Tribolium castaneum: one gene and its partners. The protein of the gene in region 1 purifies or fractionates together with the protein of each later gene. This does not show direct contact. Links are inferred from orthologs where the notes say so. Each region holds a gene or a part of one and is shown on either strand. Other genes may lie near its edges. The genes, in order: SkpA, F-box/LRR-repeat protein 16 and Fbl6.

What was found.
Region 2: the proteins of SkpA (region 1) and F-box/LRR-repeat protein 16 purify together in Homo sapiens (affinity purification with western blotting; 5 studies listed by BioGRID and IntAct, with this or other methods). This does not show direct contact. The link is inferred for Tribolium castaneum from reciprocal best matches to the Homo sapiens genes SKP1 and FBXL16.
Region 3: the proteins of SkpA (region 1) and Fbl6 purify together in Homo sapiens (affinity purification with mass spectrometry; 6 studies listed by BioGRID and IntAct, with this or other methods). This does not show direct contact. The link is inferred for Tribolium castaneum from reciprocal best matches to the Homo sapiens genes SKP1 and FBXL6.

What each region holds. Positions count from the first base shown.
Region 1 is NC_087402.1:1,039,094-1,041,298, forward strand, and holds SkpA (S-phase kinase-associated protein 1), read right to left. Parts: upstream 1,306-2,205; 5' UTR 1,228-1,305; coding exon 739-1,227; 3' UTR 646-738; downstream 1-645. Other genes in the region: uncharacterized protein LOC103312555, read left to right, coding at 1,590-1,592, 1,824-1,963, 2,012-2,086, 2,134-2,205. UniProt on the Homo sapiens protein: Essential component of the SCF (SKP1-CUL1-F-box protein) ubiquitin ligase complex, which mediates the ubiquitination of proteins involved in cell cycle progression, signal transduction and transcription.
Region 2 is NC_087394.1:25,647,236-25,650,997, forward strand, and holds part of F-box/LRR-repeat protein 16, read right to left. Parts: intron 2,320-3,762; coding exon 2,028-2,319; intron 1,977-2,027; coding exon 1,781-1,976; intron 1-1,780. UniProt on the Homo sapiens protein: Substrate-recognition component of the SCF (SKP1-CUL1-F-box protein)-type E3 ubiquitin ligase complex.
Region 3 is NC_087400.1:61,168-64,929, forward strand, and holds the start of Fbl6 (F-box/LRR-repeat protein 6), read right to left. Parts: upstream 2,775-3,762; 5' UTR 2,614-2,774; intron 2,276-2,613; 5' UTR 2,180-2,275; intron 2,095-2,179; exon of another isoform or gene 2,094-2,094; 5' UTR 2,029-2,093; coding exon 1,848-2,028; intron 1,770-1,847; coding exon 1,325-1,769; intron 1,188-1,324; coding exon 1,030-1,187; intron 974-1,029; coding exon 804-973; intron 751-803; coding exon 625-750; intron 570-624; coding exon 402-569; intron 358-401; coding exon 138-357; intron 84-137; coding exon 1-83. Other genes in the region: uncharacterized protein LOC661447, read right to left, coding at 3,253-3,762.

The DNA of each region.
Region 1 (2,205 bases):
TATTAAATTAAAAAACTAGTTATTTGATAAAAAACAGTTTATTCAAAAATCGCTGATGTACACTGACAAACAAACAGAATTGGCAAGAAACCAGGTCAGTGGTTTAGCTCGTAATTCGGGGTCCCTTTGTGACACTGAAGTTACGTGCCCAAAATGACACCTTAACGTCATAATCTCAATTTGCACACTACAAATTGAATTTCCTTAATCCTAACACAATTCCAGTTTAATGAGCCGTGATGATGATTGTGACTGCGACGTTTTGGAAACGAAACAGAAGCTCAAACACATCAAATGCAAAATTATTAAATTAATGAATGAACAACTATCCAAGTCGGAAAATTTCGTGGAGGATGAAATCAAGCGAAATGGGTGTTTTACCCGAGGGTTAGTTGTGGTTAAAAAGCTGCCAATTAATTGCGAGTTGTAGGTGTTGGTGGTCCTTGTGTTCCTCCAGGACGTGGCTGTACTTTTTAGGGTTTTTAACGATGATATTTGTAGCGGTTTTAATGGGGGCGTTTATGGGGGCCCGCATTTGCGGGAACGAGGCGGGGTCTTGCGATGATTATGGCGTATTTTAACACTTGTATACTATATTTTATCCGACACCTATTATAATTGGTTAAGGTGCAAATAAACAACCAGTTGGGTCGAAATGGCGTTTGATTTAAATAATCATATTACAATAAAACAATGAACGCAATTTTGGAAATAATCTTAAATAAAAAAAATACGAGTTTACTTCTCCTCACACCATTCGTTCTCCTTGCGCACTTGCTCCTCCTCGGAGGCTGTGAAGTCGTTCTTGATGTTGAAAGTCTTGCGGATCTCCTCGGGGGCCTTGCCCTTGATCATGTTGGCGACTGTCTTGCAAGTCACATCGAGCAGCCCCTTGATGTCCAGGTAATTCGCCGCCAGGATCAGCTCAAACAAAGTGCCTTGGTCCACTTTGAGAAAATCGGCGTCCCATGACGAAATATCATCCGTGCGTTTCTCCTTGTTCTCGTCGTCTTCGGGCGGTGGAGGATCATCTTTGTGATAAGTGGACCACTGGATAACTTTCTTCAAAATCGCCGAATTGACATTGGGGAGAGGCACCACTTCCTCTTCCTCCTCGTCCATCCCCAGGTCCTCCAGCATGGTCTTGATGGTCACTGAACATTTCGCGATCTCCACGTCCACCTCGAACGTTTCACCGTCGGAGGAACGCAGTTTAATATTCGGCATTTTTCACGGTTTTTCTTCGATGACAGAATATGACAATAGACGGCAATAATGGTGGATGACAGGTGTAACGCGCAAGCGTCCCCACACGGGCGCCAGATTCGAACCAATTGTTATAAACAAATTAATTCAAAACGAGTTATTGCAGCAAATACGCAATGACGCGGCAAAATTTTCATCAAAACACGTAGCGCGTTATTTGCCTCGGATAATGTAATATGGGAAGAGCCGCAATATAAAGCTTAATTGTGCGTTAAAATTGTTGCACTTGGTTTGCGCAAGACCCCGCTCTTGATTTAAAAGAGGTGGCCCAAGAATTTGGGAGCCAGATTGTCCGTCTTCACCGCCTGTCTCCAAGCCAAACAATGGTAAGTCTGTCTGAGTCGTCTTTTTTGATTTTCTCCTTATCACCCTCTTTCTTACACATTATTTTGAAATTTTTGCGATAACACTCTTTATTGCATAAAAACAACTAATTGTAACAATCTGACGCAACAATTGACCGAATCTTTATTACTTGAAAACTTCCAATTCTTATCTAACTTGACTTCTCAAGTGTTTTGGAGCAAAACACAAACAAATTGTTATCTGATTTTTAGGGTTCCACAACAATGAAAAAGTCCATTACGGACCACCGAATCACTTTGTTGTTATTCGTCAGCATTATTTTCCTATCTATTGAAATTACCCACGGGGCTTTGGTCAAAAACCCCAACTTGCTGAAAAAAAATCATTGCAGGTACTAATTACATAATATCAGGTTTATTTAATTAATTAATTATTTAAGGACACACATTTTTTCTCCCGTGTGCCGCGGGCAGCAAAAGCGAGACATTTTAAGCCGTCTCAGTGACGAGTACAGGTAGTCATTAAAACAATTAAAGTGCAAAAGTTTGATTCATTTGTTAGGGTGCCAGCCCTGGATTCCGATTTTTCGGGGATTGACCGGTCCCGCGATTTCCCTACAATCCTTAACAGTCC
Region 2 (3,762 bases), on another chromosome or scaffold:
CACCAGTTATTGCAACTTTAAAAAATACATTAAACACAATGCAAGTGTTTCTGCTAAAAGTATTTTTTACTATATCTCAAAAACTAATAATCGCATAGGAATCACGGTGTGTTGCTTTATATTTAATGTTTTTTTCCACACAAGTGAATTTTTTCAGAATTTTTTACCCTCCCTTATAGAGTTATTTATAAAAATATTAAGATCAGTATTAATAGTAATTAATACTAGTAATTAATATCAGTAATATCAGTAAAAATAAACATAAACTAATGGAAATTTTATTATTTATAGTGTTATCCTGAAACAAGGTTTTGGACAAAAAATTGATAATAAGCTTAATCTACCACCGCAGCATGTATTTAAATATTTTTTAATTAAAAATTAAAAAATAAAAAATTGGGAAAAATTACTTTTAGGATTTTTTGCACAAAATAACATCTTAAAATGCTTAAGAAATAATTAATTAATACAGATTGGAGTTTTATGAGGTTAAAACTTACTTTAATTAGGAAGCAAAAAATATTGGAAAAACAGAAATTACGTGTTAAAATCTGGTATTTTCCGATATATTTTTTTAATTCCTACATCAGGAATAATAAAAACATATTTTTTATTGTAAAACATTCTATTACAAAAACAAACAAAACGAAATATCTTTTGTAAAAAATTTTCTTGTTGAAAAAAATTGTTATTTATTGTATAAGGGTCTTAGATGTATTTTATCTCCGTAAAGATTTAAACTCGAGAAGTAAATTCGAGCGTTTAATTAAGGGGATAAAAAAAGAAGTTAATTAATCGTTTAACTTAAATATTGTTTTAAATTTGCTGGTGTAAAATTGGTTCGTTTTCTGTAAGAATTTCTTTCAACCAAAAAATGAACTCACTGTATCTATTTTTTATAAAAAAAAATTACACTACTTTAAACATTACAACATTAAAAAGTAATTTAGTCTGCAACTAGCATTTTTCCCTAGAAAGTAGAAGATACTGAAAATGAGAAACACTAATAATTGAAACACACAGTCTAAAATAAAAAATCAATATACTCGTATTAAGAGACTGAAATGCTAAAATGCTTACAAGCTGAATTAAAAAAATAAAAAAATAGTGAAATTGAATTCTATACACGGTGATTCAAAAGTACCGTACAATTTCTTGGGTGCTGAATTAAAAGTTCCTATGACAAAAAATTGTTTGAACCCTCTTTCACGAGATTTAGGTCTTCAAACTTAAATTTTTAAGTTAATTTTTGTTTCATATCATACTTTTTGACTTTCGTTAGCGAGCTCTTGCAACATTAAACAAATACAAATTAAAAAAAACAACAATTAATGTATAATGATGTGCAAAACAATTAAAAACTTGTAATTTCAACAATAAATTAAATTCAATAACCTAGAAAACAAAAGAGCAATAATCGATACCGTTGCTAAGGAAAACAAATTAAAAAATATATACTCTTTCAAATTAAATGATATCTCATCAGGCTGTGGAAATTTGAATTTAAGTTGGTTATACAGTTATTTTTAGTGTTTCATATATTTAATTAATTTGAAATATAAGGAATTGTAGAAATTTTTTTAAAAAATTCACAGGCACAGGGAGAAATATAAAGTGTTGAATAGCAAACGCTGAATTTTGTGTGGTTCTTAGTTTTAGAGATATAGAGATATACTTTTAATAAATGAATTTTTAGCTTAAAGTAAGGTAATTTTTGTCGTAATTATCTAGTTTTGCGTTGTGTTTAAATGAAATTGTGGCTTATAATTTGTTTGGTTACCGATCGAGTGTAAGCTCTTCTAATTGGTTGAGATCGCACGCGATATACTCCAAGGCAGCATCGGTGATTCGAGGACACCACGACAAGTCGAGCGATCTCAATTTTTGTAAATTCTCAGCTATGAGTTCGACGCCGTCGTCGGTGATTTTGCTGCATCCGGAGAGGCTGAGGACCGTTAGATTCGGGAGAGAATGAACTGCAAATTGATTTTTTAAAATTGTTTTTTTTTTCAATGAGAGTATGTTACCAATATTTACAACTCCGTGATTGGTGATTTCCCAACACGAGTGCAGTCTGAGGATATTGAGTGAGTTGCTTTGTTTTGGCGAAAAGTAACCTAAAGCGGCGTCCGTGACATGGTAGGCCTGGAGGGAGAATTCGTACAATGCAGGGAGGAGTTGAGCCACAGCGCCTACAGCTTCATCGGCAACATTTATACAGTCACTTAGTGTCAAAGAGACGATTCTAGGATTCAGACAGGCCCATAAACCAGCCTCCGTTATTTCATTACAGCCTGCTAGTTCCAATTCGTAGAGCGCCTGGAATACAGAGTTTTCGGTTTAAAACACTGAGAATTCGGACTGAAATCGTTGGTTTATTATGGAAATTTTATCGATCTGAGAAAGTTAAATAGCGTAGCATTTCGACACGACATTTTTTTAACGTAAAGAAATTATTTAGTAAAATGTAATAAGTTGGAAAAGTTTTAATTAGTGTTGAGTGTTGGAGTTTTATTTTTCCAGATAATGAAACAAATAACTTTTTCTTGATTTGCATTTGAAGAGAATTTATTGCATTGTTTGCTCGTAATTAAGGAGATAGTTTCATGGTTAACAAATCGATCCTAGGCTAATTTACGAGAGAATTACTCGAATCACTGGAACAAAAACAAAACTACAAAAGGCTGTTTCCGTTTTTCTCACCTAGCAACAGCTTCAACTGATGTACAATCTTTCACCCTTAAATCGAAGCTCGCGTCTCTTATTTCCGATACCTACCCAAAGGTCAAAAGGTAAACAATATAATGACCTTTGAAATGCTGTGAACAAACAGCTTCCGTACCGTAAAAGAACTAATGGTTTATTATCTCACATAAATTGGGAATAAGAGTCTTGTGTCGCTCTAAGCTCGTGATTTAAAGGATTTCACAAAGTAATTCAGCCCTTTCCGACCTCAATGGTTCGGATAATTATATTTTATAGCATCTTTGTGTGCTAATTGATAATTTCTGCGCTAATCCGATTTTCCACTGTTTTAACCCCGAAATCAAAATCAATACAATGTTGTGTCGATAAAGATAAATGGTTCAGCGGGCTTTCGAGGAAAAAAATGTTATTAATGACGTCGAGACGTCGTCGATTTTTATTAAAATGCTGCGGACGATATTGTTATTTGGACGCAAAATTTTTCGCTGCTTTCATATTACGTCAATGTGATTACATAGTCTATAATGGACAAAAATAAATGTAGACGATACAGTAGTAGAAAAAAAGGGACACAATTAACGCATAACCATATACAAAAACGTAATAAATTATGAGGAAAACTATTGTAGAGACTTGACCTTTACTGTTATTTCCTTAAAACGTTGTACATAGAATTAATACTACGGACCCCAAACAATGCAACATTGTTCAAATTTGGATGTAACTAGAGCGAAAAATAACATTTTAATTGATGACACACTTGTAAATTCATTTGTTTTTCTACCTATTAAAAAATAAAAAAAATATGTGCAACATTTGTTTAGTAGTATTTCTTAGAACTAAATTTTAAATTTAAATGAAGTTTGGTTGTTTTTGATTAAAGGATAATAAACATAATAATTAACAAAAAAATAAATTACAAATTTAACAAATTGTACTAACAAATTGTAATTTTTTGTAATTAAATTACAAAACATCATCATGGTTGGGTTCATCTTTTCAATTTAATAAGTTTCAAAAGTAAAATTTTTGTAAAAATACAACTGAAAAAGAGCT
Region 3 (3,762 bases), on another chromosome or scaffold:
TAGATCAACTTCTAGTAAACTGTGACTCCATTTCTGGACAATCAACTCGAGACCAGAGTTTTGTGTCCGAGTTATATAACAGGCTGTAAAGTTAAATTAATTTTCAACAAACAACACAATTTGTGTTAAATACCTACCACTCAAAAATAAATGTTCGAGATCCCATGCGGGCACTTTAACTAAACCAGAGTCAGTTAAACGAATACACCCTCTAACATCTAACAAACGAAGTTTTGTACTATTTTTTAGTATCCTTTCAATTCCGTCATCGTCAACAGATCGAGAAGTGGTCGTTTGGTCTTCTTCCAAACCGGCCAAAGACAACTCCTCCAAAAGCGGAAATCCAGGAGAGGCAACCTAATAATTTCCAATAAAAAAAATCCTACTTTAATTTTACAAACCTGATCAGTCAAACTAGCTGGTGCCAACCAAATTTGACTATTCGTAATACGCAAAACTCGCAATTTCGGACAACCAATTTGTAATTTTTCAACATGTAAAAGTGCGCTGTTGTGAGCAAAGGTTCGAATGTTGGATATATCTAAAAGCTGGAGATTTGGACAATTTGCCTAAAAATAAAACCAATTAGAAAATGATTCATAAATAATTAATGAAAACTTGTACAGCAATTGACGCCATTATTTGAGTAAAACCCGCCATTTTATTATGAGCGAGTACCAAATGTGTCAAACGACTGCTCATCGTTTGCCCCATTGCTACCAAAGGTTGAGAATTAATTGCCGATGTAGACTACAACCAAAAAAGTATTATTATTATTATTATTATTTAATAAATTATATTACGTTAATTGACGACAAGTCTAATCGTTCCAGTTTTTTACATTCCGTTGTTAAATATTTCAAATTATCGGCGTTAAGGCCTTTCCAACCACTCAAATTGATGCCCTGAAGTTCAGGACAATTCGTACAGAGAGCTTCGATTGCAATTTGTATATCACGAACCTTCCATTCACCTAAATACAAGATTAGAAAACAAGAAAAAACATTTTCGGGGGTATATATTATTTACCCAAATTTAAATCTTGGCAACAAGACAATCGATTATAAATTAACCAATGTAATTGCAAATCAGTCCTGAATGGTTCTTTTACATAATTCAAATCGACTTTGTTCCACAACGAAGGTGTCAAAGCCACGTTTCGCCACAGTTTACACACTCGACATAATCTAGGGAAAAAAAAATTAAATACCCGTCACTGAATTTTCTATTGTTACTATGGCAATTTATTACCATAGTTACATACAATTTCTATGACACCCCACGCATATGTGCGACTCGTTAAGGATTAAATTTTTTATTTTACCTCACTAGATTCGGCAAACATCCGTCTTGAAAGCAAACGTTTTGAAAAATTTTATACAACACATTTTCCGGTACGTGTTCACCCCAAACGCTTTGCTCTTGAGGCTCCTGATCCTGAGTGCTCGTTACGTCACTCTCATTCTTACTTTTCTTTGCTGTATATTCATAATCGGATACGTCCGTATCCGAAGTAACTTTTTGTTTTTTCCGTCTTCCGCTTTTCTTTTTATTCGGTGCACTGCTTAGTTGCACTTGTGCGGTAAAATTACTTTTTTTTATTCGTATTTTTATTGTGTTTTTATCGCCGCTTATCTGACTGTGATACATTGCGACGAGCGCTTTCCGAGGTCTACCTCGGCCCATTCCGCTTTTGCTGCGACTTTTCGACACTTTTTTTATGCTACTACCATTGTTACAATCAGTACTTTCCTCATGGCTACCACCACCTGGCGAATAAAAAAAAACACACTCAATTAACGAAAACTAGCGCTACCAACCTTGCACTTTAACAAGGTTGAGCGTACGTTTTTGTTTTTTACCCGTGCTAGTGGCGCCTTGATTTTGTTGTTGTACGTCGGTTACAAAATTTTTCACAGGACAAACATTATTGTTTGGTAAATGTTCGTAAATATCTCCGTTTGTTTCTGTTAAATTCGCCGCAAAAATCTCAGTCGGTATGTCATTGAAACAATCGGCGCCCGACATTGTGATTTTTTTCACATTTTTTTCTTTCAAGTTGGTAACCACATCATTGACGTACGAAAAAAAAACCTGAAAAAGTTTATTAATTACTATAGCAAACCGATCTAAGTACGGTCCTGTCGTAGATGGCGTACAACATTTTGATTGGAAAATTACCTTACAAAATGTGCAATTTGCACCGGTAGCTCAGATAGAAAGTTGTCTGCAGGCCATTGAGTGACTTTTTTCGCGTCTCTGACAAACTCGTCTACTGAAAAATCACAAAAATGTATTCAAAAACCTACTTGATTAAATGAAAAACAAACAAAAGTGTTCCAATTCAAAAGAGAAAAATTTGAATTGGGCGGCAAAATTCGTATCTAGTCCGCTCGTAAACAATCACAAATGACAGGAGAGAATACATTTCGGAATTTATACAAATTTACGTAAAAAGCAGCAAGTTAATGCGGAAATTTATCGAAATTCGACAATTTAGTGCACATTTAAATTTCTCTAGGCAGGAAAGAGGTCTCGATCGAGTTTTTTTCACTTCGTAACGGATCAGTCCCGACTTTGGTTTTTTCGCCCATTCAATCGTCAAACACTCACCTAAAACTCACAATAATAGTTGAAAAAACCACCACCAATCACAATCACATCACTATTTCGATGAGAAAATCAGTATTTTGGAAAACTTGGCCACTTTCTGATTTTAGTGTTGTTGACCTTGTTACTCAAGATGCAAACATTTTTATAGGTGGCGCTGCTATTGCCGGTGTTACAGGTTGCGATAATTTTGCGCCATCTATCGATGAACAGAGGGGAAAATAATTAATTAAATAAAAAAATAACTTATTTGAATAATGAGTTTATTTCAACAATTCTTATTCGTACAACTATGAATAGTAATCGAGAAAAATGAATAAAACATTTTTGTTAAATTCCAATTGTTTTATTGCTTTTCAAAATTTGGTGTGTTTTTGGGAAAATAAAAATGAACTAGTAAAAAAATTTATGGTACGTGATGAAAATAAGGGAAGCGTCCGATATGTGTCTTTTTTTCGTGTGAAAGTCGAGGCAAAGGCACGTACCCTAAAACCATTCCAAACAATTTAATTTATTTAGAGTACAATTATGAAAAAAAAGCAACATTATTAGATATATCAACATGAATAATCTCGTTAAAATTTGCAGAATAACAACAAGCTATAATAAATCACAGGATAGGGTAGGTAATAGAGAGGTCTTTTATTCCGCCGCCGCGCACAGCACATTGACAGTCCTAACTTTAACACCCGCTGATTCCACTTGTCTCAAACTTTCCGGATCCGCTTCCAGCATAATAATGCACATGAAACTCTTCCCAGTGGTCGCATCTTTTGGATACACCGTAATCGGCGTAAATTTCTCACACGTTCCATTCGCGTAAGCACACAATTGTTTGAAAATAATCGGATGTTGTCTTTTGAGAGACACTCCACGCGCTCTCAATTCCTTCAAAACATTATCAATACTCAACTCTTTGAGTTTCTTCGCTTCTTCGTTTCCTTCTTCGATCGAATTACAAGTCAAGATGAGAGTTTCGGGATTTTCCGGAACGGAGAAGAAAAAGTCTTTACTGAGTCGCATTTTGGCACAGCGAGACACCAATTGGCGTTCCCATTTGACGGCCCCTGTAGCTGGCGTTTCCGACACAACACACACGGAAACGTAAAGTACCATTTTAGTATCGGGATTATAAGTTTTGCACATTTGGAC